2 linked regions of the Saccharomyces cerevisiae S288C genome follow. The protein of the gene in region 1 binds, or shares a complex with, the protein of each later gene. Each region holds a gene or a part of one and is shown in the gene's direction. Other genes may lie near its edges.

The links.
Region 2: the proteins of ARD1 (region 1) and NAT1 are in contact, whole or in part, in a crystal structure (PDB 4HNY), measured with the Saccharomyces cerevisiae proteins. Residues at the interface, in NP_011877.1 of Saccharomyces cerevisiae: Pro2 (codon at 8,678), Ile3 (codon at 8,681), Asn4 (codon at 8,684), Ile5 (codon at 8,687), Arg6 (codon at 8,690), Arg7 (codon at 8,693), Ile10 (codon at 8,702), Asn11 (codon at 8,705), Ile13 (codon at 8,711), Ile14 (codon at 8,714), Gln17 (codon at 8,723), Ala19 (codon at 8,729), Asn20 (codon at 8,732), Pro25 (codon at 8,747), Asn27 (codon at 8,753), Tyr28 (codon at 8,756), Met30 (codon at 8,762), Lys31 (codon at 8,765), Met34 (codon at 8,774), Tyr35 (codon at 8,777), Ile37 (codon at 8,783), Leu38 (codon at 8,786), Ser39 (codon at 8,789), Trp40 (codon at 8,792), Pro41 (codon at 8,795), Glu42 (codon at 8,798), Phe45 (codon at 8,807), Leu52 (codon at 8,828), Asp53 (codon at 8,831), Glu55 (codon at 8,837); in NP_010244.1 of Saccharomyces cerevisiae: Tyr199 (codon at 10,771), Glu203 (codon at 10,783), Phe238 (codon at 10,888), Asp239 (codon at 10,891), Lys240 (codon at 10,894), Phe241 (codon at 10,897), Gly242 (codon at 10,900), Glu245 (codon at 10,909), Ile262 (codon at 10,960), Arg265 (codon at 10,969), Thr266 (codon at 10,972), Lys269 (codon at 10,981), Arg270 (codon at 10,984), Asn271 (codon at 10,987), Pro272 (codon at 10,990), Asp273 (codon at 10,993), Asn274 (codon at 10,996), Phe275 (codon at 10,999), Lys276 (codon at 11,002), Leu285 (codon at 11,029), Ile287 (codon at 11,035), Leu293 (codon at 11,053), Ala296 (codon at 11,062), Leu297 (codon at 11,065), Lys300 (codon at 11,074), Leu301 (codon at 11,077), Gln303 (codon at 11,083), Phe304 (codon at 11,086), Tyr305 (codon at 11,089), Pro306 (codon at 11,092).

Annotation. Positions count from the first base shown.
Region 1 is NC_001140.6:130,230-140,120, reverse strand, and holds ARD1 (peptide alpha-N-acetyltransferase complex A subunit ARD1), read left to right. Parts: upstream 1-8,674; coding exon 8,675-9,391; downstream 9,392-9,891. Other genes in the region: argininosuccinate lyase ARG4, read left to right, coding at 1-110; YSC83 (Ysc83p), read right to left, coding at 270-1,427; YSC84 (Ysc84p), read left to right, coding at 1,666-1,712, 1,881-3,240; MIP6 (Mip6p), read right to left, coding at 3,588-5,567; SPO13 (Spo13p), read right to left, coding at 7,199-8,074; retromer subunit VPS29, read right to left, coding at 9,673-9,891. UniProt on the Saccharomyces cerevisiae protein: Catalytic component of the NatA N-terminal acetyltransferase, which catalyzes acetylation of proteins beginning with Met-Ser, Met-Gly and Met-Ala.
Region 2 is NC_001136.10:373,642-391,614, reverse strand, and holds NAT1 (peptide alpha-N-acetyltransferase complex A subunit NAT1), read left to right. Parts: upstream 1-10,176; coding exon 10,177-12,741; downstream 12,742-17,973. Other genes in the region: GPR1 (Gpr1p), read left to right, coding at 1-2,443; pseudouridine synthase PUS9, read left to right, coding at 2,714-4,102; BSC1 (Bsc1p), read left to right, coding at 6,028-7,014; pheromone-regulated protein PRM7, read left to right, coding at 7,534-9,630; NAD-dependent histone deacetylase SIR2, read left to right, coding at 13,170-14,858; spliceosome assembly protein PRP11, read left to right, coding at 15,135-15,935; MTF2 (Mtf2p), read left to right, coding at 16,326-17,648. UniProt on the Saccharomyces cerevisiae protein: Non-catalytic component of the NatA N-terminal acetyltransferase, which catalyzes acetylation of proteins beginning with Met-Ser, Met-Gly and Met-Ala.

The DNA of each region.
Region 1 (9,891 bases):
TTGAAACTTTTAACTTTGAACAAAGCGTTGAAAGACGAGATGCTACTGGTGGAACCGCTAAATCTGCTGTATTGAAGCAATTGGATAATTTGAAATCCCAATTAAATTAGCAGATGGCGACGTTATGCGCAAGAATTTCATCAGGTCTGGTACTTCTAGGACTTCATCAACCCTTCTTTAAATACTTATTTTGTTATTAGTATTATATTTTCGAGATTGTGCTATGTATATATATACGTAGATAAGCAATTGTTATCTAATCAAGGATATTATTTGGATGATTTAGAAGATGACCGGCAAAAAAACGAAATAATGCTGCTATATACCTTGGCTAATCTTCCTCTCAAGCGTTTCAGGGAAAGACGTGTGTGATGGTTGAATATAAGTGAAGCAAATGGCCATGAGACTAAATAACTAAAACGGCCGCAATAATACACACTATTGTAACCTCCCAAAGTCGTTAACCAACTTAGCAGTTGTCTTAGTTTATACCCATTCGCACTCATTATCATTTTGTAAACTGGATAATGTAGGGCCTCGTGAATGTCTGAACCGGCCATTCTCAAAAATTTATAGTTCGATGGTTGTGACCCAATCTGCAGGATTCCAAGCTTGATTGTGGAAACATTTAACCTTTGATATTCCTTGAAAATTTTAAATAGTGAGTCGATTATTCCAGACGTTATAATTTCTGTACTATGATGGACTAAGTTCAGGTCCGCAGTCAAAGATGGATTGAACATAATTAGTTGGGTTTTTCTCTTCAAATGGGGTATAATGCTTAATAATGCTTGATAATACACAAATATACTTGAATGAATTTCAGATTCCAATGAGTCACATGAAATTACTCCGGATGGATGATATGATAACCTTGGCATAAACAATATGGATGCTAGCCTTGGTACATCAACAAAAAAACCCTCGAAGTCTTTTTCGCAGGTGGGATCAATGTAATATATGAAATCCTGATCTTCTTCGTGCTTCTTATAGACGTCTGCATTTTCAGTACAAATATATACTGTAAACCGTCTGCGATATAAATCCATCACTTGATTCCTTATGATAGGATCATTCATATCGCCCAGTATTAATACCACTTGAGATTCTGCTTCAGGTAAATTAGGTGGCAGTTTAAAAAAGGTCCTATACCCAAGGTATAAGCACAGGGAGGTGGCAGAAATTCCCAAGCCTAGCTTCCAATGATCCTGGAGCCCGATCCTCAAAGTTTTATATACTTTAGATCTGTTACTGTCGTTTTCCTGTAGTCGAGGAGTCTCCTTGTTGGATATCTTTCCAGATATGGATTCAATTGATTTTTCGACGTGGTTCTTGATCTCATCGCTCAAGACAGCGCTTTTCGAGACGAGCCAATACCCAGCATCAAATATCTGATCCACTATATCCTTACCACCAGACCAAGCCATTTTTATTTGTTTTTTTGAGAGCAAATATCTTCTGTTGTCTGTTTTATATTTCCTGTTTGTATGCCACCTACAACATTTTTACATGTTCCGACGCTGACCGAAAACGACCTGAAGGGAATTAAAGTTGACTACCCCCTAACTAGACCCTGTTCTTAACATTATCTATAACATGAAACTATCTTACACTTCACAGTAAAATTTTCAAGAGTAGTGGTAATATCAAATCCAAAATCCAAAAATGGGTATCAATAATCCAATTCCTCGAAGCTTGAAAAGCGAGACCAAGTATGTTCATATATATGCTTCCTGCTGCCCCTCCTCTAAACTTATGGATGCAGCTAAAATGTTCAAGATAGCTCTCTAGTCTGTGTCCATTGCTTATGGGGCATGAGTTTTCAAAAGTAATGTACTAACAACTTTATGATTGATTTATTTCGAATGTTTTAACTACAGGAAGGCCGCGAAAGTTCTAAGGAGTTTTGTTAAACCAAATCAAGTATTTGGAGCAGACCAAGTTATTCCACCATATGTGCTAAAAAGAGCTAAAGGTCTAGCAATTATCACGGTTTTAAAGGCTGGCTTCTTGTTTTCAGGGAGAGCAGGTTCTGGGGTGATTGTGGCCAGGTTAAAAGACGGTACATGGTCGGCTCCCTCTGCTATCGCTATGGCAGGTGCTGGTGCAGGTGGTATGGTCGGCGTTGAATTGACAGATTTTGTTTTTATTTTAAATTCGGAAGAGGCAGTGAGGTCCTTTTCTGAATTTGGTACAATTACTTTAGGTGGTAATGTGTCAGTTTCCGCAGGTCCTCTTGGAAGAAGTGCAGAAGCTGCAGCTTCTGCATCCACAGGTGGTGTCTCGGCAGTTTTTGCCTATTCCAAAAGCAAAGGTTTATTTGCCGGTGTGTCTGTGGAAGGTTCAGCCATCTTGGAGAGAAGGGAAGCTAATCGAAAGTTTTACGGCGATAACTGTACATCAAAGATGATTTTGTCAGGTAGAGTAAAAGTTCCACCAGCAGCAGACCCCCTACTCCGTATCTTGGAATCAAGAGCGTTCAACTTTACACGCCACGACCATGATGACAACGCTAGCGGTGATGATTTTTATGATGACGGTCAATACAGCGACAACACAAGCCATTATTACGACGATATTCCAGATTCCTTTGATTCTACTGATGAATCCTCAACACGTCCAAACACAAGATCATCAAGAAGAAGAGGAATGTCGCTGGGGTCACGCAGTCGTTATGATGATGATTATGATGATGATGGTTACGGACGTGGTCGCGGGTATGGAGATTTTGATAGCGAAGATGAAGATTATGATTACGGAAGATCTCCAAATAGAAACAGCAGCCGCAATAGAGGCCCACAGATAGATAGGGGTACTAAGCCGCGTGCGAATACCCGATGGGAAGATGATTTGTATGATAGAGATACTGAATACTCCCGTCCCAACCATTCCGGTAGGGATTATGATAATACCCGAGGAAATAGGCGTGGTTATGGTAGAGAAAGGGGTTATAGCCTTGGTCATGGCCCAACTCACCCCAGCAATATGAGCAATGTCGATGATTTATCACATAAAATGTCGAAGACAGGGTTAGGTAATGAATCCACTGCTACAAATTCGGCGACACCAACGGCTGTTGCTCTCTACAATTTTGCTGGAGAACAACCAGGCGACTTGGCTTTCAAAAAAGGTGATGTTATTACTATCTTAAAAAAATCAGATTCTCAAAATGATTGGTGGACAGGCAGGACTAACGGAAAAGAAGGAATATTCCCTGCAAACTACGTTAGAGTTTCTTAAATTATCGTCCTCCATATGTCTCGTTCCTATATATAGAATTTTTTTTTAGAGTTATGAAGTTGAGGATGGGTTCCTTATTCAGCTATGTTTACGAAATGTTTGTAGTTATATAATCACAATGGAAAGCTTCGAGGAACCACTTCTTAAGTACTCACTTAGTAGGTGGAGTATTTCTTGAAACTGGACTATACGCCATTAAACTAAAAAAAAATCGAGGCTGAAACTCCTTGGAATAATTCTGGGTAGATTAAGATAGCAAAGAAAACAATACTCTATTTTTATAGACATACGTACTTTTGTACCGAAAATTGCATATTGATGAACCTGCCTTCTTCCTTTAAAAGGAATCAAACTGTAAATCCGAGGCTTTCAGCAGCTCTAGTGACTTGTTTTTGTAGAATTTTCTGTGATTCTAATGAAGTATTTGTCATTAATAAAAAGTGCGATAGCCTTTCTGAGTCATGCTCCCAAAATACGTCAAAAATAAACTCGGAAATGCTGCGCAGATTTTCTTCTTTATTTAAACCAGAAATACTTATACGTTGTAAATTTCTGTTTATAATTTTTTTTAAGGACTCAAGTATTTCTGCATTCTCCTGTTTAGTTCTCTTAGGCTGATGCAGTTTTTCGTCAACAGTATTTGTAATTAAATTAAATGCTGGATGAGGTTTCATCGGCGTAGCTACGAGAGAGTTCATGTTTGTGTAGGAATTTGAATATGATGAGAATGGGGAAACTACTTGTTGAAACTGTGACGTTAATCCCTTTTGATGAGCTGATAACTCTTGTGTGCGGAAACGCATCATGGAACTAATGTTGATTAATTTCTTATAATTTTCATTGTTGTTACCATCGTCATAGTCTATCTCATTTAGTATATTATCATTATTCTTTGACCATGATGCCTCAACCAAACTACTTCCAATTAGTCTCCTATCCAAAATATTAAATAATCTCTCAGCATCACTACGAGAAAAACACTCAACATGTCCACAAAATGTCCAATTTAATGAGTTATAGTTTGTGATCTTAATTTCACTGAATCTTATTTTTTCTTGTAAACATAGTTGAGAAATAAACTCCTTATTGCAATTGAAGCTTAAATTTTTTAGATAAACCTTTGTTTTCTTGTTCGTTCCAATTTGATTATGAACAGGCTTATCTTTACCAGGACCAACCCAAATGGTATGGTTTTTAAAAATTGTTTTATTCAAACATTTCTGTGCCTTTTTAGATTCTTCTTCATTTTTATATGTGACGAACGCTTTATGTGGTGTGTTCGCCTGCTTTTCAGAGATGAATACAGATTTTATGGGGCCAATAGTGCTGAAGTAATCCAAGACCTCTTCTTGTGTTGTGTCAGATGGTAAATTTTTGACTAATATTGTTTTCGAACGAGCATTATCTGATAAATTATTGCTAGCCAATAGTTCGTCTTCGATAACTATGTCGGAGCCAATCATTTTTTTTCTTTTTGTAAATTCAGGTCTAGTTCTTACTTCTTTGTCAAAATGCAATCCACATATAATTTTATTTCCAAAAAATTCTTGGTTATTGTATTTTTTGATTACATTTCTAGCAGAAATATCGTTATCGAAATAAACGAACCCAATGTTTTTTCTTCTTTCTAGAAGACATGACAGTACATTTCCGTACTCGATCATTATTAGATAAAATGATCTTGTGGTCAGTTGGGGATTTTCCAGTGGTAAGTTAGAGAAAAAAACATTTGTTCCGATGTTTTTTCTAAATAATGTATTTTTCATAGATGGCATTATTTTAACTTCTTGACCAAAAAAAACCGTATAATTAAATTCTTTCCTTGCAGATTCTGCATCGTTTTTATCCTTGAAATTCAAATAGCCATAACCCAATGATTTTTTGGTGAGAAAATCACGACACACTTTAGCAGATTCAAAAGATTGATACCTTTTGAATATCTTCCTTAGCATTTCTTCAGTGACAGTTGATTTCAGATTTCCTATAAACAAACTATTTGTCTTTGAAGTTTTCGTGATATATTTTTGCACGCTTCCCTTTGCAACAGTTTTTTCAAATACTTGCTCTTGTTCTTTCTTTTCTTGAGTTGCATTTTTACAATCGTATTTTTTGAGGCTATTCTTTTCTTTGACTTCAGCATCCTTTAATTTCACATCACCGAGCTTATATCCAGCTCCTTGCACGCGTACTAGTGCTTGGGCTGATATCGTTTTGAAGCTTTTCTGCCTTGCATCTTTATCATTTGGGCAACTTTTAGAAATCGATCTGGGATTTTGCTTGCTATTTAAAGAGATATTATTCAATACATTACCATGAGAGTTTGGCATCTTTTTTTAGGGAATTTTTCGTATTTCTGCTTTTATTGACTTGGATAATTCATTATGTTAAGTAAGCTCTAATTGCTAAAAATGCCATAAAAAGAAAACTTATTGGAAAAGGACCGCCATTTCGAACGGAATTTGTGACACAAGTTCATTTTAGCAAAAAAAGGTCCTACCCGGATTCGAACCGGGGTTGTCCGGATCAAAACCGAAAGTGATAACCACTACACTATAGGACCGGAACTTACTGGTCGATCTGAAAATCATGATCGAATACGTCATCCTTGCATTACCCAAAATCAATCAATTTTTAATGAAATACATCAAATTTTGATTGTTGTTATGAAACTTCAAAATATCATCCGTTTATTAGTACTCACGCTACTAGTTTATTGTCAAATAAGTTGTAAGAAGATGGCATAAACATTGAGAAACAGTCATCAATTCTAATGAAAGCAGAAATGCAAGGATTGACAATGTAATAGGGTAATGAAAAATATAGAACGGAAGGAGAAATAATCATAATAACCTTATGTCGAAATACAGATTCTGAGAATTAGGTGAATTTTGAGATAATTGTTGGGATTCCATTTTTGATAAAGGCTATTATATTAGGTATACACAATATACTAGAAGTTCTCCTCGAGGATTTAGGAATCCTCAAAATGGAATCTATATTTCTACAACCTAATATTACGATTATTCCTCATTCCGTTTTATATGTTTCATTATCTTATTACATTATCAATCCTTGCACTTCAGCTTCCTCTAACTTCGATGACAGCTTCTCATAACTTATTTCATCATCTAACACCGTATATGATAATATATTGATAGTATAATTATTGGTTGATAGACGATAGTGGATTTTTAATTACATTTTGAGGATTCTTATGTTCTGGTGGATAACTACTAGTATATTCTGCATAGCTGATATCATAGCCTTCACCAACAAGGAAATCGCAACAATCATTAAATCATTCACTCAATATTCATAATCAATGGATGATGTTAAATTCTTATTTTAACATTTAGTTTGTGATTTCCGGTAAAAGGGTAGTGTTGTTTTTTTGAGAGCCTTTTCTGACGGACAAATGGTCGCAGGAAATATAAATTTATATTTAGTAATACGCAATCGCATACACATAAAAGAAGCCGAAATATTTTATCAAATACAATAGAAGCTAAAAGCAAGAATTGATAATGTAATAGGATAAAGTAATATAGTTATGGAGATTTATCGACGCCTTTTTGTGGATTCCAAGACCCTCGAGAAGAACTTCTAGTATACTCTGTGTACGAATATTATAGCCTTTCTTCAACAATGGATTTCAAACAATTATCCAATTATTCACCCAAAATTTAATATAAAACATACAAGGATTGCAATTTCAATTGACTTATACTAAGGCATAAGATCCTGATATTATGCTTACGACTTATATAATAAGTGGCAACTTGGCCGAGTGGTTAAGGCGAAAGATTAGAAATCTTTTGGGCTTTGCCCGCGCAGGTTCGAGTCCTGCAGTTGTCGATAATTTTTTTAAAAAAAATTGTGGAAATTTTGTCATTCAGTATTAAAGATTTTCTATGCAATAAACTAATTAACATTCTACAGAAAAAGTAAACTAATCTTTTTAATTAAGGGAAGACTCACTATCATTATAAGTTGCATTTTGTCCACTAGACTCATAATCGGAACAATTAACATCCAATGTATTTGAAAGTCTCTTTTTACTTAACTTTGGTGCTGCCCTTGGTGTCTCTTGGCCAACAAAATCTCCGTTATTAGAAATCGAGACCGGATATATTGGAAGATATTGGTAATTTTTTTCTTTATCTAGACTTTTGGTCTGATGGGGCAGTCTTGTTTTCTTAAACAATGGCGAATCGTATACGTTAACATTCGGATAAAGCAACTCCGGCCGTTGGATGGGAATGGCATAGTTTAGGTTTGGGTTATGACTTGGCGTCAGGAACGTTGGGTTTCCAACGAAATTTTGATACGGGCTAAAATTATACATAGGAGAAGGAGCAATATAGTAAGGAACTGGAAACATGGGTGCTTCTCTTTCTACATTTATTTGAGAAGATTGAGAAAGAACCGGCGTTGAAGTAGATTTTGGAGGCTGCTCAATGTCCTCGAACCTTAAGGAATTATCAAATGAGGGGCGCTCTATTGTTTGTCTTTCGTTTTTCAAGGTATTGCTTGATTTATTTTTCAAATATCGAACATCTCCAGCCTTTGAGTACTGTTGAGCATCACTTACAAAATTTAATCCTGGATGTGGGCTTTCTAGTCTTAAATCGACATGTTTCGAATTGAATATATTTTCTGATTCTGTTTTTTTTGTTTTTCTGATTTCCTTATTCTTGATTTCTTTACCAATTTTAAAAGCAAGTGGAGAAACTCGCAAGTTTGGGGTCTTCTCTTGAAGAGGTTTTTGAACTTTCCTTTTAGAATGTGTTGGTGACCCTAATTCGAGTAGCCTAAAGCGTTTTCTGGGTGCCATAATTATTCTCGACTCAACTTCAATCCGTTTTCTTTCTTCTTATTGCGCTAATTGTCTGTTAGACACTTTTATGAGACTTCCTTTTTGTCGGCGGCTATTTCTCAATATACTCCTAATTAATACATTTCCGTGCAAAGGTACTAACTAGCTAAACGGATACTAAAGAATTCAAATGTGAATTTAAGCATAACTGCAGGTAAATCAAGAAGCTTGAATATTATACTGTAGTCAAAAATTAGATGTGTAAATACTGTGTATTATAATTCTGAAGTTTATTCAGAAAATATCATGGAACAAATGATACGCTGAAGTGCCTTCTGCCCGGAGATAAAGAATTCATAAAGTATAATCTCCATGAGACTTCCAGGACAAATATTTTCTCTTAAAGCGCTTGCTTTAGTAGTATTGCATCCAATGCTAATTTGTCTTTATTGATCTCTAGGCTCAATCCTCACTTTCTCGCGTCAATTGGTTTTTTGAACAGAAAAAAAAAGCACCGTCTGAAAAGTTTGAAACCTTTTGTCAGCAACGAGTAATTGCCAAGTGAAAAGGGAAACCTAAATACATACGATCAAGCTCCAAAATAAAACTTCGTCAACCATGCCTATTAATATTCGCAGAGCGACAATCAATGACATTATATGTATGCAAAATGCCAACCTTCATAACCTACCCGAAAATTATATGATGAAATATTATATGTATCATATTCTCTCGTGGCCAGAGGCTTCGTTTGTTGCTACTACCACCACTTTGGACTGTGAAGATAGTGATGAACAAGATGAGAACGACAAATTGGAATTGACCTTAGATGGGACCAATGACGGCAGGACAATCAAGTTGGATCCAACATACTTGGCTCCGGGCGAAAAATTAGTTGGATACGTTCTCGTGAAGATGAACGACGACCCCGACCAGCAAAACGAGCCACCAAATGGTCATATTACTTCCTTAAGTGTCATGAGAACCTATAGAAGGATGGGGATTGCCGAAAACTTAATGAGACAAGCTTTATTTGCGTTGAGAGAAGTTCATCAAGCGGAATATGTTTCCTTGCATGTGAGACAATCTAATAGAGCAGCTTTACACTTGTACAGGGACACATTGGCGTTTGAGGTGTTGAGTATCGAGAAAAGCTACTATCAGGATGGTGAAGATGCATACGCCATGAAGAAGGTTTTAAAATTAGAGGAGTTGCAGATAAGCAACTTCACCCATCGCCGTTTGAAAGAGAATGAGGAAAAACTAGAAGACGATCTAGAAAGCGATCTACTAGAGGATATCATTAAGCAAGGCGTAAATGATATCATTGTATAATTAAATCAACCTATATAAACGTAGTATATTTTCATCCAGGCTTCTTCACAAGCTCTGTTAGCTCTTTTTGAGCACGGTTCTAAACACTGCAGTGCTAATTCGGTAGAATTGTGTGAGCATGAATAGTAAGGAAACTGTGCATGCAAGCTTTCTTTTTTTATATATGTAATATCCGGCAGATAGGATATCTTAATTACATCTATCTCGTCTGCAAGAAAAAGTTCACGAATGCATCTAATGTTTAGACATCATAGAAATGCATAAAAATGAAAATGGCTACCCTATTCCTTTTCATAAACCACTTTATCGACCTTCACTTCTCCATTAACGTATAAATAAATGTATAACGTGCAGGTATTGCCTTGAATATCCAAGAGGCAGAAACTTGGTGAATTAGACCCATTTATATCCGAATCTGACATATCAACCTCGTCTTCCTTAAATTGGTTTTCAGGCTTAACGTTGCTTTCATTCTCATTCTCACGTTCCCCAGCAGTGCC
Region 2 (17,973 bases), on another chromosome or scaffold:
CATACATTTTGCTATTTTGATCTTCAAGCCTAATTGGAAATGGCGAAATAAAAGATCGGGAAATATGGAGGGTGGCTTGTACAAAAAAAGGTCATATATCTGGCCAATTACTGCATTAGTACCTGCCATTTTAGCAAGCTTAGCCTTCATTAATTATAATAAACTCAATGACGATTCTGACACCACTATTATACTGGATAATAATAACTACAACTTTCCCGATTCTCCCAGGCAAGGTGGCTACAAACCTTGGAGTGCATGGTGCTATTTACCACCCAAGCCGTACTGGTATAAAATTGTTTTAAGCTGGGGTCCCAGATATTTCATTATTATTTTCATATTTGCAGTCTACCTCAGTATTTATATTTTCATTACCAGTGAAAGTAAAAGAATTAAAGCGCAAATTGGAGACTTTAACCATAACGTACTAGAGGAAGAGAAAGAAAAGAAAAAATTATTTGGGCTCGGTCACTGGGGAAAAGCCAAATGGTATTTCAGATCCTATTTTAAATTGCCATTGCTACATCTTTTGAGAAATTTAAAGAATTTTTTCACCATTTCGTTCATAGATCCGAATGAGGAAACAGACGATTCAGGTAGTAGTAATGGAACTTTCAATTTTGGTGAGAGTTCGAATGAGATACCTACACTATTCAGAAAAACAAATACAGGTAGTGATGAGAATGTCTCGGCAAGTGGTGGAGTTCGCTTACTTGACTATAACAGTGCTAAACCACTCGATATGTCCAAATATGCAATGTCTGAACAGCCAGATTTGGAAAGAAATAATCCTTTTGATTGTGAAAATGACATCACACTCAATCCTTCGGAACTAGTATCCAAGCAAAAGGAGCATAAAGTTACTTTTAGTGTTGAAAATGAAGGACTGGATACAAGAAAAAGTTCAATGCTGGGACATCAGACTTTCTCTTGCCAAAATTCTCTAGAATCTCCTTTAGCAATGTATGATAATAAGAACGATAACAGCGACATAACTAGTAACATTAAGGAAAAAGGAGGCATCATCAACAACAACAGTAACAACGACGACGACGACAACAACAACAATAACGATAACGATAACGATAACAATAATAGCAATAATAATAATAACAATAATAATAATAACAATAATAATAATAACAATAATAATAACAATAACAACAACAACAACAATAATAATAATAATAGTAATAATATTAAAAATAACGTTGATAACAATAATACTAATCCAGCCGATAATATTCCTACACTTTCTAATGAAGCATTTACTCCGTCTCAACAATTTTCACAGGAGAGAGTGAATAATAATGCAGACAGATGCGAAAATTCAAGTTTCACCAACGTACAACAGCATTTCCAAGCCCAAACCTACAAACAAATGAAAAAACGTAGGGCACAAATTCAAAAGAATCTAAGGGCAATATTCATTTATCCACTGTCGTATATTGGGATATGGCTTTTCCCCATCATTGCAGATGCGTTGCAATACAATCATGAAATAAAGCATGGGCCTACCATGTGGGTGACATACATTGACACTTGCGTTCGACCATTAAGTTGTCTCGTCGACGTCATTGTTTACCTGTTCAAGGAAAAACCTTGGAACTATTCATGGGCAAAAACAGAATCAAAATATCTCATTGAAAAATATATTCTGAAAGGAGAGCTTGGTGAAAAGGAAATTCTGAAGTTTTGTCACAGCAATTGGGGGAAAAGAGGTTGGTATTATCGTGGTAAGTGGAAGAAAAGAAAATGCTGGAAATATTCTACAAACCCTCTGAAGCGTATACTGTGGTTTGTTGAACGCTTCTTTAAACAATTGTTTGAACTAAAACTACACTTTAGTTTTTATGACAATTGTGACGATTTTGAATACTGGGAAAACTACTATTCAGCCAAAGATTCAAACGATAATAAACGCACAGAATCTGATGAGACTAAAACGAATAGTAGCGATCGCTCCCTTCCATCAAATTCACTTGAACTACAGGCAATGCTTAATAACATCACGGCCGAAGAGGTTGAAGTGCCCTTGTTTTGGAGGATCATTCATCATATTCCAATGCTTGGCGGAATAGATCTTGATGAGTTAAACAGATTGTTGAAAATACGGTACAATAACGACCATTTTTCTCTACCCGGGTTGAAATTTGCATTAAACCAAAATAAAAGTCACGATAAACATCAGGACGTCTCAACTAACAGTATGGTCAAATCCAGCTTCTTTTCAAGCAATATTGTCACAAACGATGATGAGAATAGCATTGAAGAGGATAAGAATTTACGCTATTCAGATGCTAGTGCATCTGAAAATTATCTGGTCAAGCCCACAATACCAGGTACGACTCCTGATCCAATAATTGAGGCGCAGAACGATAATGATAGTAGTGATAGTAGCGGCATAGATTTGATAGCCTTCTTAAGAAATGGACCATTATAAAGTTTTTGTATCGCGATGTTTGAAAATGGAAAGTAAGGAACGTAATACAAATTGACAAGTAGCCGACATGAATGACGCTCACTTCTCTTATATATGTTAGGTAGTATATGCATTATAGAATTTATTCATTGAAGCAATGTGATTCCTCGATAAGTAAGCTTTTTTTCTGTCTGGCGGCGAACCATTAGAGAACAAAAGACCGAGTTAAGAAAAAGTTCATAAAAAACTTTTGAAAATGGATGAGTGCTCGTATAATGGAATAGGAAACTTATGCAAAGAAATAATAGGTTAAGAAATTTGTTTACAGTGCCAGTAATAATGGCTCGACAACTCAAAAGGAATGCATTATCTGCAGGTCTTGCTTTTGCAGGTAATGCAACCTCAAATGAGTTTGATGAACATTTGCAAAATGAGGTTGAAAGAGAGAGGGAAATTCAAAAGAAAAAAAAAATAAAGCGAACTCAATCAAAAAAATCGCCAGATTTGATTAATAAATCTACTTTTCAATCACGAACGATAGGCAGCAAAAAAGAGAAACATAGACAACTAGATCCAGAGTATGAAATTGTCATCGATGGCCCTCTAAGGAAAATCAAGCCCTACCATTTTACGTACAGGACCTTTTGCAAAGAGCGTTGGAGAGATAAAAAATTGGTTGATGTCTTTATATCTGAATTTCGAGATCGTGAATCTGAATATTATAAAAGAACAATCGAAAACGGGGACGTTCATATAAACGATGAAACTGCGGACTTATCTACTGTAATTCGCAATGGTGACCTGATTACGCATCAGGTACATAGACATGAACCTCCAGTCACTTCCAGGCCTATCAAAGTTATTTTTGAAGATGATAACATAATGGTTATTGATAAACCGAGCGGTATACCTGTTCACCCAACTGGCCGATATCGGTTCAATACAATTACGAAAATGCTTCAAAATAATCTCGGATTTGTTGTGAACCCATGTAATAGGTTAGATAGGCTTACAAGTGGATTAATGTTTTTGGCAAAAACTCCGAAGGGAGCCGATAATATCGGCGATCAACTAAAAGCTCGAGAAGTCACTAAGGAATACGTGGCCAAGGTAGTTGGAGAATTTCCAGAAACGGAAGTAATTGTTGAAAAACCTCTAAAACTGATCGAGCCAAGGCTTGCTCTTAATGCAGTTTGTCAAATGGACGAGAAAGGAGCCAAACATGCAAAAACTGTTTTTAACAGAATCAGCTACGACGGTAAAACGAGTATTGTAAAGTGCAAACCGCTTACCGGGCGATCACATCAAATTAGAGTACATTTACAGTACTTAGGCCACCCAATTGCTAACGATCCTATTTATTCCAATGATGAAGTATGGGGTAACAATCTCGGAAAAGGCGGCCAGGCTGACTTCGATATAGTTATTACTAAGCTAGACGAAATAGGGAAAAGAAAACCTGCTAAAAGTTGGTTCCATAGTAATGGCGGGTACGGTGAGGTATTAAGGCAAGAAAAATGTTCTATTTGTGAATCTGATTTGTATACTGATCCTGGCCCCAATGATCTTGATCTGTGGTTACATGCCTATCTATACGAATCAACTGAGACTGAAGAAGGAACCGAAAAGAAAAAGTGGTGCTACAAAACAGAGTATCCAGAATGGGCTCTGAGAAGATAGAGGTTCCTGACTTGTCGGACAATAATACATAGAAAACTGGTCTTCTGTTATAATCAGTCATTGGCCAATCAAAAATGACAGTAACAGAACATCACGCTACAATCTTAATCTTAATTTATAAAAAAGCTAAAATCTTTACAGGAGGAAGACAATGAGATGTGAAGAATGACCACTTCTCCTTTTCTTTTCCATTTCTTTTCTTCCACACTCCTAGTATTCCCGGTAGTATTCTTTTCGCAACCTAAAATTTCACGTAGCAGAGAAAATCGGAGTCTTGAAAGTGTTAACCATAAAATTTCATTGATAAAATGATCTTCGAGGCTTTCTGCTATCCAAATCCACGTTTCTTTTTATTTATTTATTAAAAACCATAAAGTAAAAACTTTGTTAAGGCTTGGAAGCGACCGAGCGCAGACCGCTTGTGTCATCGATTACTCAGATAGGAAATCTTTTATTTATCACCCGCTGAAGCACGCAGCAACAACCGGTTGACCGACGCAATTCTTTGTTTACTTTTCCTTCTACTCATGATCTTCTGTTCCATTTGCCACCCGATCGAAGAAAAAATTTTACGGCCAGTTGCTTCTTGGGCGTAAGGCTCCGATCTTTACGAAGAAATCTTAATTTTTGCCTGAAAGCATGGCTTAAAAGCCGAAAAAGCAAAACTTAATGATTGACAGATCTTTTTTAGGAAATTTTTTGACGGTGAAAAACCCGGCTTCTAGAAAAAAAAACGATGGGAAAAAAGAACTGGAAAAAAAAAACTTTAAACTTTGCTTATGTCAAATTTAAATTTCAATTCGGAATTAACACCTGCCGCCCCCGTTTATTGTCCAGCGGGGAGTCTTTGTCGTACTTTCTTCTTTTCTTCTTCTTTCTTAATGAAGCACCTAGTTTAAGGATAAAAAAGATTATATCGCTTGTCTATGGCTTACGTAAACATTATTTCTTTGATATACTATTCCGTTAGAATGGAAGGGGGCCATATGATTCTGATTTTCTTGGCCTGGGGGGATGGAAATTTTCCTTTTAGAGCTGCCTGTACAAGACCGAGTGTTCGTTCCTCCTTTAGCATAGAAAATACGGTTATTAGATTATTGGGGCATTTGGCCTGCTTCCATCTTAACGCGAACAAATACTATTCAAGAACTTGTGCTACCTCTTGAAACCAAATGTTAAACTGTTCTGCCATATTTGAAAATAATTTCAAAGTTGTGGGAAAAATATTTTGCCATCATACGACAAACGTTTCTCTGGCTGTGACTGATAGTCGTGTAGGTCCTGTATTATCTTGCTGACAAACATCTTAAAAAGTCTTTTGGAAAAAGAAAAAAATAAACTTTCCTTCTTTTTTTTTTGGTTCCTGCGGCTCTTTCAAGGGGCTGCCAAACCTTATATTCTCCTCCTGTCATTTTAGAAGGAGAGGTAGCGGTCTTTTCTTTTTTTTCGTGCCTACACGCGCACATGACGATAAAACTGGCCCAGGCGAGATCAGATCAGCATTTGCACGTTGCATTTTACTTGTTTTCTTATTGGCAAAGAAAAAAAGCTCGGAACAAGCCACTAATACCCGATTCTATGCTTACAGAATAACCGATACTACTGGAAAGAAAAATTTTTCACATTAGTTCGCTGCATCTCCATGATCGTTTAATTATTTTATATTTAAGAGAAGCAAATCACTTCCTCCAATGTCATGATGGTCTTGGCAATTTTCCTCCCCTTGTTGCAAAAGTGTAAAATAGGTATCCACATCATTCATAAGAAAACTACTAATATCATTTTGCCTCCTATTTGCGGCCTTGCTCACAAATTCAGCGACTGCTGATAGAATTGATGACAAGGTGAGCCCTTCATTTGATCTAAGCAAAAGAGACGAAAGCGTTGCTATCAATGGTTGTCCAAATTTGGATTTCAACTGGCACATGAGCCAACAGAATATACTACATTATGATATGGATGTTACTTCCGTATCATGGGTCAAGGATAACACATACCAGATTACTATTCATGTCAAAGCCGTAAAAGATATCCCTTTGAAATATTTATGGTCTTTAAAGATTATTGGTGTCAACGGTCCCTCAAGCACCGTACAACTTTACGGCAAAAATGAGAAGACATACCTAATCAGTGATCCAACAGATTTTACATCCACTTTTCAGGTTTATGCTTACCCTTCTTCTGACGGTTGCACAGTTTGGATGCCAAATTTCCAAATCCAGTTCGAATATCTACAAGGTGATGCTGCTCAGTACTGGCAAACTTGGCAATGGGGGACAACCACCTTCGATTTATCGACAGGTTGTAACAATTATGACAATCAAGGCCACTCACAAACGGATTTCCCTGGATTTTATTGGACCTACCAGTGCAAGGGAAACAATGATGGCACTTGTACAAAAGCCTCGTCTTCATCCATTACTACTTCATCCATTACTACTTCATCCACTACTACTTCATCCACTACTACTTCATCCACTACTACTTCATCCTCTACTACTTCATCCTCTACTACTTCATCCTCTACTACTTCATCCTCTACTACTTCATCCTCTACTACTTCATCCTCTACTACTTCATCCTCTACTACTTCATCCTCTACTACTTCATCCTCTACTACTTCATCCTCTACTACTTCATCCTCTACTACTTCATCCTCTACGAAAACTTCCACTACTACGTCATCTACTGTGAAAAGCTCTTCCACTACATCCATTGATTTTACTACTTCCGTTGACTCACATACTTCATCAAGCGTAGCCGATATTTATCGTTCAAGAACATCTACTGATGTCACCACATTAGCAGCTTCAACTAGTCCTTTCAGCAGTTTCACTTCAAGTGACTCTAGTAGTTCAAGCGATGTAACCAGTTCAACCATTCAAACTACTTCTGTTGATCCAACCACTTAAGTAGTAAGTTCAAGTTCAGAAGACCCAACTAGTTCAAGCGCTGTGACTACTTCAGTTGACCCAACTACTTCAGTTGACCCAAATACTTCAGCTGATCCAACTACCTCGACCGTTCAAACTACTTCTGTTGATCCAACTACTTCAGTTGACCCAACTAGTTCTATAGTCAGTTCTACTTCAGTTGATCCAACTACTTCAGTTGACCCAACTACTTCAGCTGACCCAACTACCTCGACCGTTCAAACTACTTCAGCTGATCCAACTACTTCCGTAGTCAGTTCAAGTTCAGCTGATCTAAGTAGCTCTGTTATCAGTTCAAGTTCAGCAGACCCAACTAGTTCAAATGCTGTGACTACTTCAATTAACCCAACTACTCCAGCTGATTCAACTACTTCGGCCGTTCAAACTAGCCCAGCTGATCCAAGTAGCTCTGTTACCATTTCTACTTCCACAGACTCTACATCTTCAATTGAGTATACTACATCGGATGATCCACACGCCTCATCAAGTTTAGCGGCTATGTATCGTACAAGAAGCTCTGACGAGGTAACCACATCAACAGATCTAACTAGCTCAAGTGACGTTGCTACTTCAGTTGACCCAACTACTTCTGTTATCAGTTCAACTTCAGCAGACCCAACTACTTCAGCTGACTCAACTACCTCGACCGTTCAAACCACTTCAGCTGGTCCAAGTAACAACATCGGCAATTCCACTTTGGCCAATTCCACTACTTTTGCAGTTAGTTCCACTTCAATTGACCCAACTAGCTCGAGCGATGTGATTACTTCAACCGTTCAAACCACTTCAATTGAACCAACTACTTCTCTCGTCAGTTCAAACGATATTACTACTTCAACAAGTCTAAATATCTCTGTCGTGATTTCCACTTCCACGGACTCTACATCTTTAATTGAGTCTACTACAACAGTTGGTCCACATGCCTCATCAAGTGTTGCTGGTATGTATCGTACAAGAAGCTCTGACGAGGTAACCACATCAACAGATCCAACTAGCTCAAGTGACGTGGCTACTTCAGCAGATCCAACTAGTTCAAGCGCTGTGACTACTTTAGTTGACCCAACTACTTCTGTAGTCATTTCAACCTCAGTTGATCAAACTAGCTCAAGTGACGTTGCTACTTCAGTTGACCCAACCACTTCTGTTATCAGTTCAACTTCAGCAGACCCAACTACTTCAGCTGACTCAACTACCTCGACCGTTCAAACTACTTCAGTTGATCCAACTAGTTCTGTAGTCAGTTCCGCTCCAGTTGATCCGGCTAGTTCTGTTGTCAGTTTAACTTCATCTTACCCAACTAGCTCAAGCACTGTGACTATTTCTGCTAATTCAAACGGTTCAGCTACTTTAGCGGCTCAAACTACTTCAATTGATCCAGTTAGCTCCATCGTTAGTTCAAGCGGTGCAACTACTATCATCAGTAGCGCCTCAATTGATCCAGCTAGTTCTGTAGTTAGTTCAACTTCATCTGAACCAACCAGTTTTATTGTCAGTTCAACCTCAGTTTATTCAACCAGACCAAGTGGTCCAACTACTTCAACAGATCTAGCTACTTTCTCTGACACAATCATTCTAAGGGTTTCAACCACTTCAACCAGCCAAGATACCCAAACAGTATCATCTAGTCTAACTGATATGGTTTCCTCAACTGGTTCAGCTGATTTGAGCGTCTCATCCATTCAAAGATCTCAAGTAGACCCAAGCACTTTCGCTGTCTCGAATAGCCCAGTATATCCAACAGCTTCGACCGGATCAACTTCCACGGGCATTCCAATTGCGTCGGAAAGTCTAAGCCTTTCTAGACAGCAAGGAATTTCGGCCACTTCAAGTTCTTCGATTGTAACTTTAACCCCAGTTGATTCGGCTTCCTCGAGTAGGTCAAGCGCAACAAGTATAATCAAGCCTAATATGCCAGTTAGCAGCAATGATTCGAAGACCCAAAGTTCTGTTTCTGTAGTTGACGCATTCCAATCAACTAAATCTTCATATCCTAGCATAACTTCAGCAGACCCAACGACTCTAGCCAGTGAAAATGGTTTAGTCGGCTCATCTTCCTCAGCTCATCCAATCACATTAGATAGAACTTATGCATCAGCTCACGCAAGCGTCACCGATATTGTCAGTAGAGTTACTGACTCGACTCGCCATACAACACTAGTAACTTCAAACATTAACATTCAGTCTGAGGTTGGGAACCCAAATTACTCGGGTCCCAAAGACACTACCATCACCAAACAATCTGCATTTATGACTTCTCCTGCATCAACGTCTACTATAAGTAACGTTCAATCAACTGCTTCCGTAATGAATCACAGTATTGAGGACAATATTTCTGCAGCTGCCTCTCTAGAAAGTGTTTCTGGTACCTCAACTAAAGATTATTCTAGTCAATCCAGTGCCATTCATTATACAAATTCCTTCACGACCACCACTACTAACGCATTTATCACATCAAAGCATTCCATTGCTGCTGTATCAACAGGAGCCATTACATCATCTGCCAGCATTTCATTAATCATGGAAGGCAGCGCAAACATTGAAGCAGTAGGAAAATTGGTGTGGCTCGCTGCCGCTCTTCCTCTAGCTTTCATTTAGTCATTCTACCATCTTTCATGTCCCTACGCCATTCTCGTTCGTATACCATATAAACCAATTATAGATTTTACATAGAATAATAGTTAAATTTGATTATAGAATATCTTCGGATTCAATAAAAAATTATTATTATCAGACTCTTTCTGTCCACTCCTTGAAGTATGCAAAGTGCTTCGAGAACGCCATGACATTCGACAATTCAAAATTGAGAGAGGACTGCTAAGGAAACTCTTTGAGTTGATTATATAATCGCTATTTAATCTTTTAAAGGGGGAATACTGCTAAATTTTCATTATTGTACAACTGGAGACATGATAGGCCTGAAATGTGCCACCAAATTGCATGACCTTGCTAATGAGGTCGCTGGGTTGCGTATGCACTTTTTACCCTGCTCCGCGTCGAAACAGAACATAATACAGAGTAAAGAGGAAAGAGCGAAAATGAAAAAGTTTCTACACTCAAAAGTCAAACCTTTTTAAAAAGTGATGTTCAGATTCCTTGTTTAAGACAAATACCATTGAGGAAGGCGATTGACCCTAACGAAGTATGTCTAGGAAAAGAAGTACTAAGCCCAAGCCAGCAGCTAAAATAGCTTTGAAAAAAGAAAATGACCAGTTCCTCGAGGCATTGAAACTATACGAAGGGAAGCAATACAAAAAATCTCTCAAGCTGCTAGACGCAATTTTGAAAAAAGACGGTAGTCACGTTGATTCCTTGGCTTTAAAGGGTCTTGATTTATATTCTGTAGGTGAGAAAGATGACGCTGCTTCCTACGTGGCTAATGCCATCAGAAAAATTGAAGGCGCTTCAGCATCACCAATCTGCTGTCATGTATTAGGTATCTACATGAGAAACACCAAAGAGTACAAAGAATCTATTAAATGGTTCACGGCAGCTTTGAACAATGGGTCCACTAACAAGCAAATATATAGAGACTTAGCAACTTTGCAATCACAAATTGGCGATTTCAAAAATGCTTTAGTGTCCAGGAAAAAATATTGGGAAGCATTCCTTGGTTACCGTGCCAACTGGACATCATTGGCTGTGGCACAAGATGTGAACGGTGAGAGGCAACAAGCTATTAACACTTTATCTCAGTTTGAAAAACTCGCTGAGGGAAAAATATCTGATTCCGAGAAATATGAACACAGCGAGTGTTTAATGTACAAAAACGACATTATGTATAAAGCTGCCAGTGATAACCAAGACAAGTTACAAAATGTATTGAAACATTTGAATGATATCGAGCCATGCGTCTTTGATAAATTTGGTTTATTAGAGAGAAAAGCAACTATTTACATGAAATTGGGTCAATTGAAAGACGCGTCCATTGTTTATAGAACTCTGATCAAGAGAAATCCAGATAATTTTAAGTACTACAAATTACTGGAAGTATCCTTGGGAATCCAAGGTGACAATAAATTGAAGAAGGCTTTGTATGGAAAACTTGAACAATTTTATCCAAGATGCGAACCACCCAAATTTATTCCATTAACTTTCCTTCAAGACAAAGAAGAGCTCAGCAAAAAATTGAGAGAATATGTTTTGCCTCAATTGGAGCGCGGTGTTCCAGCAACTTTTTCCAACGTGAAACCCCTTTACCAAAGAAGGAAGTCCAAGGTTTCACCACTATTGGAGAAAATTGTCCTTGATTATTTGTCCGGATTAGATCCTACGCAGGATCCAATTCCTTTTATTTGGACCAATTATTACTTGTCTCAACATTTCCTTTTCCTTAAGGATTTTCCGAAAGCCCAAGAATATATTGATGCTGCCCTTGACCACACCCCAACTTTAGTTGAGTTTTACATCCTCAAGGCACGTATCCTGAAGCACTTAGGCCTAATGGACACAGCGGCTGGAATTTTGGAGGAAGGTAGGCAACTTGATTTGCAGGATAGATTTATCAACTGTAAAACGGTTAAGTACTTTTTAAGGGCTAACAATATCGACAAGGCGGTGGAAGTCGCGTCCCTTTTCACCAAAAACGATGATTCTGTTAATGGTATTAAGGACTTACACCTTGTGGAAGCTTCTTGGTTCATCGTAGAACAGGCAGAAGCCTATTATAGACTATACCTGGATAGAAAAAAGAAATTAGACGATTTAGCATCGCTAAAAAAAGAGGTTGAAAGTGATAAAAGCGAACAAATTGCGAATGATATCAAAGAAAACCAATGGCTTGTTCGCAAATATAAAGGTTTGGCGCTGAAAAGATTCAACGCTATTCCAAAGTTTTATAAACAATTCGAAGATGACCAGTTGGATTTCCATTCATACTGTATGAGAAAAGGTACGCCAAGAGCCTATCTGGAGATGTTAGAATGGGGAAAGGCACTTTATACCAAACCCATGTATGTTCGCGCAATGAAGGAAGCATCAAAGCTTTACTTTCAAATGCATGATGATCGCTTAAAAAGAAAGTCCGATTCTTTAGATGAAAATTCAGATGAAATCCAAAATAATGGCCAAAATAGTAGCAGCCAAAAGAAAAAAGCTAAGAAGGAAGCAGCCGCTATGAACAAACGGAAAGAAACTGAAGCCAAGAGTGTTGCTGCTTATCCGAGTGATCAAGATAACGATGTATTCGGCGAAAAGTTGATTGAAACCTCCACTCCAATGGAGGACTTCGCTACCGAATTTTATAATAACTACTCCATGCAAGTCAGAGAAGACGAAAGGGATTATATTTTGGACTTTGAATTTAACTACAGAATTGGAAAGTTAGCTTTGTGCTTTGCTTCTCTAAACAAATTCGCTAAGAGATTTGGCACCACGAGCGGTTTATTTGGTAGTATGGCCATTGTTTTGTTACATGCCACAAGAAACGACACCCCCTTTGATCCAATTTTGAAGAAAGTAGTCACGAAGAGCCTTGAAAAAGAGTATTCTGAAAATTTCCCATTAAACGAAATATCTAACAATAGCTTCGATTGGCTGAATTTCTACCAAGAAAAATTCGGTAAGAATGATATAAATGGCCTGCTATTTCTGTATCGCTATCGCGATGATGTTCCGATCGGAAGCTCTAATTTGAAAGAAATGATTATTAGCAGTCTTTCTCCCTTGGAGCCTCACTCCCAGAACGAAATTCTACAGTATTACTTGTAGCCTGCAACTCCTCAATGTGTCAATTAACTCTTACTTAATTTATGTATATATTTTTTATGTATATGCTTATATGCATGCGCATATGCTCATAAAAGATACATTGTTATAGGTCATTTCTTTTCCAAGCTACATCTAGCACTCCTTCCAACCATGGTCCAGGACAGCCAGGACCTTTTCTTGCCAAAATTCTTGCTTTCCCATCTCAGAGAAAAAACGAGGAATTTTTCTTTGTCCTCTTTGGCCGCCAGTTGCGGTAAAATATTTTTTTTCTAGGTCGCATAGTTTGAAAGACTTGTCTTTTTCACCACCCAAGAAAAATATATTTAGTGAAGAGATGTAAAGCCCATTCTCACGTATTTCAAGAAATTAGGCATCGCTTCGGTAGACACATTCAAACCATTTTTCCCTCATCGGCACATTAAAGCTGGATGACCATCCCACATATGAAATACGCCGTATCAAAGACTAGCGAAAATAAGGTTTCAAATACAGTAAGCCCCACACAAGATAAAGACGCGATCAGAAAACAACCCGATGACATTATAAATAATGATGAACCTTCACATAAGAAGATAAAAGTAGCACAGCCGGATTCCTTGAGGGAAACCAACACAACAGATCCACTTGGGCACACTAAAGCTGCGCTCGGAGAAGTGGCATCGATGGAGCTCAAACCAACTAATGACATGGATCCCTTGGCAGTGTCAGCAGCTTCAGTAGTGTCAATGTCCAATGACGTTTTGAAACCAGAGACGCCCAAGGGGCCAATCATAATCAGTAAAAACCCATCAAATGGTATTTTCTATGGTCCCTCCTTCACTAAACGAGAGTCTCTCAATGCTCGAATGTTTCTGAAATACTATGGTGCACACAAATTTTTAGACACTTACCTCCCCGAGGATTTGAACTCGTTATACATTTACTATCTTATCAAGTTGCTAGGCTTTGAAGTTAAAGATCAAGCGCTTATCGGCACCATCAACAGTATTGTCCATATCAACTCGCAAGAGCGTGTTCAAGATTTGGGAAGTGCAATATCTGTCACAAATGTTGAAGACCCATTGGCAAAAAAGCAAACAGTTCGTCTAATCAAAGATTTGCAAAGAGCAATTAACAAAGTTCTATGTACAAGATTAAGATTATCCAATTTTTTCACTATTGATCATTTTATTCAAAAATTACATACCGCTAGAAAAATTTTGGTCCTGACTGGTGCAGGTGTTTCAACTTCATTAGGGATCCCGGACTTCAGATCTTCTGAGGGGTTCTATTCAAAGATCAAACATTTGGGGCTCGATGATCCCCAAGACGTTTTCAATTACAATATATTTATGCACGACCCCTCTGTTTTCTATAATATTGCCAATATGGTTTTACCTCCAGAAAAAATTTATTCTCCATTGCATAGTTTCATTAAGATGCTACAAATGAAAGGGAAATTATTGAGAAATTATACTCAAAACATTGATAATTTGGAATCTTATGCGGGAATAAGCACAGATAAACTGGTGCAGTGCCATGGCTCTTTTGCTACTGCCACCTGCGTTACCTGCCATTGGAACCTACCCGGTGAGAGGATATTTAATAAAATTAGAAACCTCGAACTTCCACTATGCCCGTACTGTTACAAAAAAAGAAGAGAATATTTCCCAGAGGGATATAATAATAAAGTAGGTGTTGCTGCATCACAGGGTTCAATGTCGGAAAGGCCTCCATATATCCTTAACTCATATGGCGTTCTCAAACCAGATATCACATTCTTTGGCGAAGCACTGCCAAATAAATTTCATAAGAGCATTCGCGAAGATATCTTAGAATGTGATTTGTTGATTTGCATTGGGACAAGTTTAAAAGTAGCGCCAGTGTCTGAAATCGTAAACATGGTTCCTTCCCACGTTCCCCAAGTCCTGATTAATCGTGATCCCGTCAAGCACGCAGAATTTGATTTATCTCTTTTGGGGTACTGTGATGACATTGCAGCTATGGTAGCCCAAAAATGTGGCTGGACGATTCCGCATAAGAAATGGAACGATTTGAAGAACAAGAACTTTAAATGCCAAGAGAAGGATAAGGGCGTGTATGTCGTTACATCAGATGAACATCCCAAAACCCTCTAAGTAGAAGGCAATTTAATAATTTAAAAGTGCCAAATTAATATCAATTTACATAGTATGGCAAACAATTTTGTTTTCCTTTCAATTATTGTAGTCAAATATTATTTACATTCTGCTATTTTCATTGTACCGGGTGAAATATTACATGTACCGCCCATCTCACTAAAAAAATGAAAAAAAAAAATCTGCTAAAGACGCAAGGCTCTCACAAATAGCTTAATGTAAGAAGGGCAGGTGGAACAGCAAATTCAAATCATTTAACGCATCCATACATTCAAAATGAACTATTTAGAAGGCGTTGGGTCAAAGAAAGGAGGTGGTGGTATAGCCTCAGAATCTCAGTTTAACTTACAACGAAGGAAAGAAGTCGAATCATTACTTAGTAAAGGCGAAAATGTCCCGTACACTTTCCAAGATGAAAAGGACGATCAAGTAAGGTCCAATCCGTACATTTACAAGAATCATTCCGGTAAACTGGTTTGTAAACTATGTAATACAATGCACATGTCGTGGTCCAGCGTTGAAAGGCATTTGGGTGGTAAAAAACATGGTTTAAATGTGTTAAGGCGTGGTATCAGTATAGAGAAAAGTTCTCTAGGGAGAGAAGGCCAAACAACTCATGATTTCCGACAACAACAAAAGATAATTGAAGCTAAGCAATCTTTAAAGAATAACGGTACGATCCCTGTTTGTAAAATAGCTACCGTGAAAAACCCGAAGAACGGTTCAGTAGGTTTGGCTATCCAGGTAAATTATAGCAGTGAAGTCAAAGAAAATAGTGTCGATAGCGATGATAAGGCTAAAGTCCCTCCTCTCATTAGGATTGTATCTGGTTTAGAGCTATCAGATACCAAACAGAAGGGAAAAAAATTTCTCGTTATTGCGTATGAACCCTTTGAAAATATTGCTATTGAGCTACCTCCAAACGAAATATTATTCAGCGAAAACAATGACATGGACAATAATAACGATGGAGTAGATGAATTAAATAAAAAGTGTACATTTTGGGATGCTATATCAAAACTTTATTACGTTCAATTTTTCTTTAAACAAGCCGAACAAGAACAAGCCGATGTATGACAGTATTATTTTTGGGTAACGTTAATAATCGGCATACAAAACTCTAACCAAATTGGATTATATAATAGCTATTAAGGAAACAATTGTCTTTACAAGAGTTTTTTTTACGAAATTTTCCCATCCAATGTGCACTTATTCTCAGGGAGTATAATAACCATATTCCTCTAAAATTATATTACTGCTCAACTTCCATGCGCTTTTGCGATCTAGAGTATTTATGTTACCATTTATCAACAGTATCTAGTACTCGCAGCATACATACGTATTTATTCAGAAAAATGTAATTAGGCGAACAAGGCCGAAAACTGTGATGTGACAACGCTTGCTATACTTGAGAGATAATTGTAAAGGAAGAAGAGGGAACTAAGGAAGAGTACAACACGCCATACAATGATCAGAACATCATCTATATTAAAAAACTGTAACTATAGATACATACATTGCATCCATAGATGCTTGCTGAATGAAGCCAATTTGAAAGATAGAAAAACTCACAACGTAGAAAGAGTTTCAAATGAAAAGACATTTGAACAAGCTCTCGAAGAGGAACGTAAGGTATTTGGAGAACTATTCGAAGCTGGAGCAAGGGTTGAAAACATGAGGCACACTAATGCTAGCAAAATAATTGACAAGTATTACAATGGGCTACAGGACAACTCCGAGGGAACTAGTGTAAAAAAAGAAAAAATTGTTTTTAACCACAGTCAAAGAGCTCAAAGGAAGCTTCCAAATAAGGACCATGAATTCCTGAAGGAAACAGCAGGCAATGACTATGTCTACGAACGGGCAGAACCTTCTGCTATTAGCACTAAAACGATAAGTGAGCAGACAAGAACTTTGCTGGAAAAGATATTTGACGAAGATAATAGCATTAATAAAAGCAACAGAGAATTGCTGAATCTTAATCTGCGCAAGGGCTCGGGAATGGAAGCTTTGAGGCAGCCAGTTGCACATTCCAACGTCAAATTTAGCGAGGAAGTGATGCAAGAAATTGGTAATAAGATTCGGTACCAAACCACACTGGATCAGGTTTTAGAACCTCACATTGACTACTTGAGGGAAGCTGTTAAAAGTGATTACGATCTTTTAAGATACCTAAAGCAATCACTAGACATTTACAAGAAAAGGAACAAAGACCTAGAGTTAAAGATGAATGCAGAATCTTCAAACATTTTCGAAGACATTAGAAGTGCGTGTATAAATAAACCGGCAGAACTACCGAAACCGCTTGCAATGACTTTACCATATATTATAGTCAAATCGCTTAGATTAGGTGACTTTGATTTCCCGGCAGACAGAAAGTACACATTGATCTCCTATGTTTATAATGAATGTAAAAACAACATGGACGCTTCACTGTACCTAACAATTTGTAATGTTGATTTCTACAATTTGCTGGTTCAGCTATTGTGGGAAAACTTCCAGGAGATTCGCTACTTGAGACGTGTGGTTACCGAGATGAGCGTTAATGGTGTCATCGGAAATATTGAAACCGTGGATATATTGGATAAGATTGTCAAAGAAATGAGAAGTTTAAATGAGGATGTCTTTCTTGAAGCAGGAGAACAGCTCAGTGCAGATGAGGAAGTTTCGTCCAGCGCAAATAAAATAGTGAATGTAGGTGTTTTATGGAATAAAGACACGAATAATGACTTACTAATTGTTGAAAATTATCTCAAAAGCCTCAAAAAAAATTTAACTAGAGACAGGTAGAAAATTATTCAAACCTTGTAAATAGTGTTATATATATGTGTTAGACTTAAAAGCGCTAATAAACGTTCCTGCTCGCATTTAACTTCTGTTCCAATTTTCCTATTTTTTAGTTAGCTTGTTCGGCAGATTTCAAATTCATTGAGTCCGAGGAAACAAAAGGATGGGAAGAGCTCAAAATTTGGAGATGGGTTTCATATACAACACGTTGGTTAGCAAGAACCTAAGGATCCGTCTATAGAAAGAACCTCGAAAAATCTTCGAAAGATTTTGTTGACTGAGAGTGGAAAAAACTGATATTACTTTCTCGGTATAGAGGGCAACATTT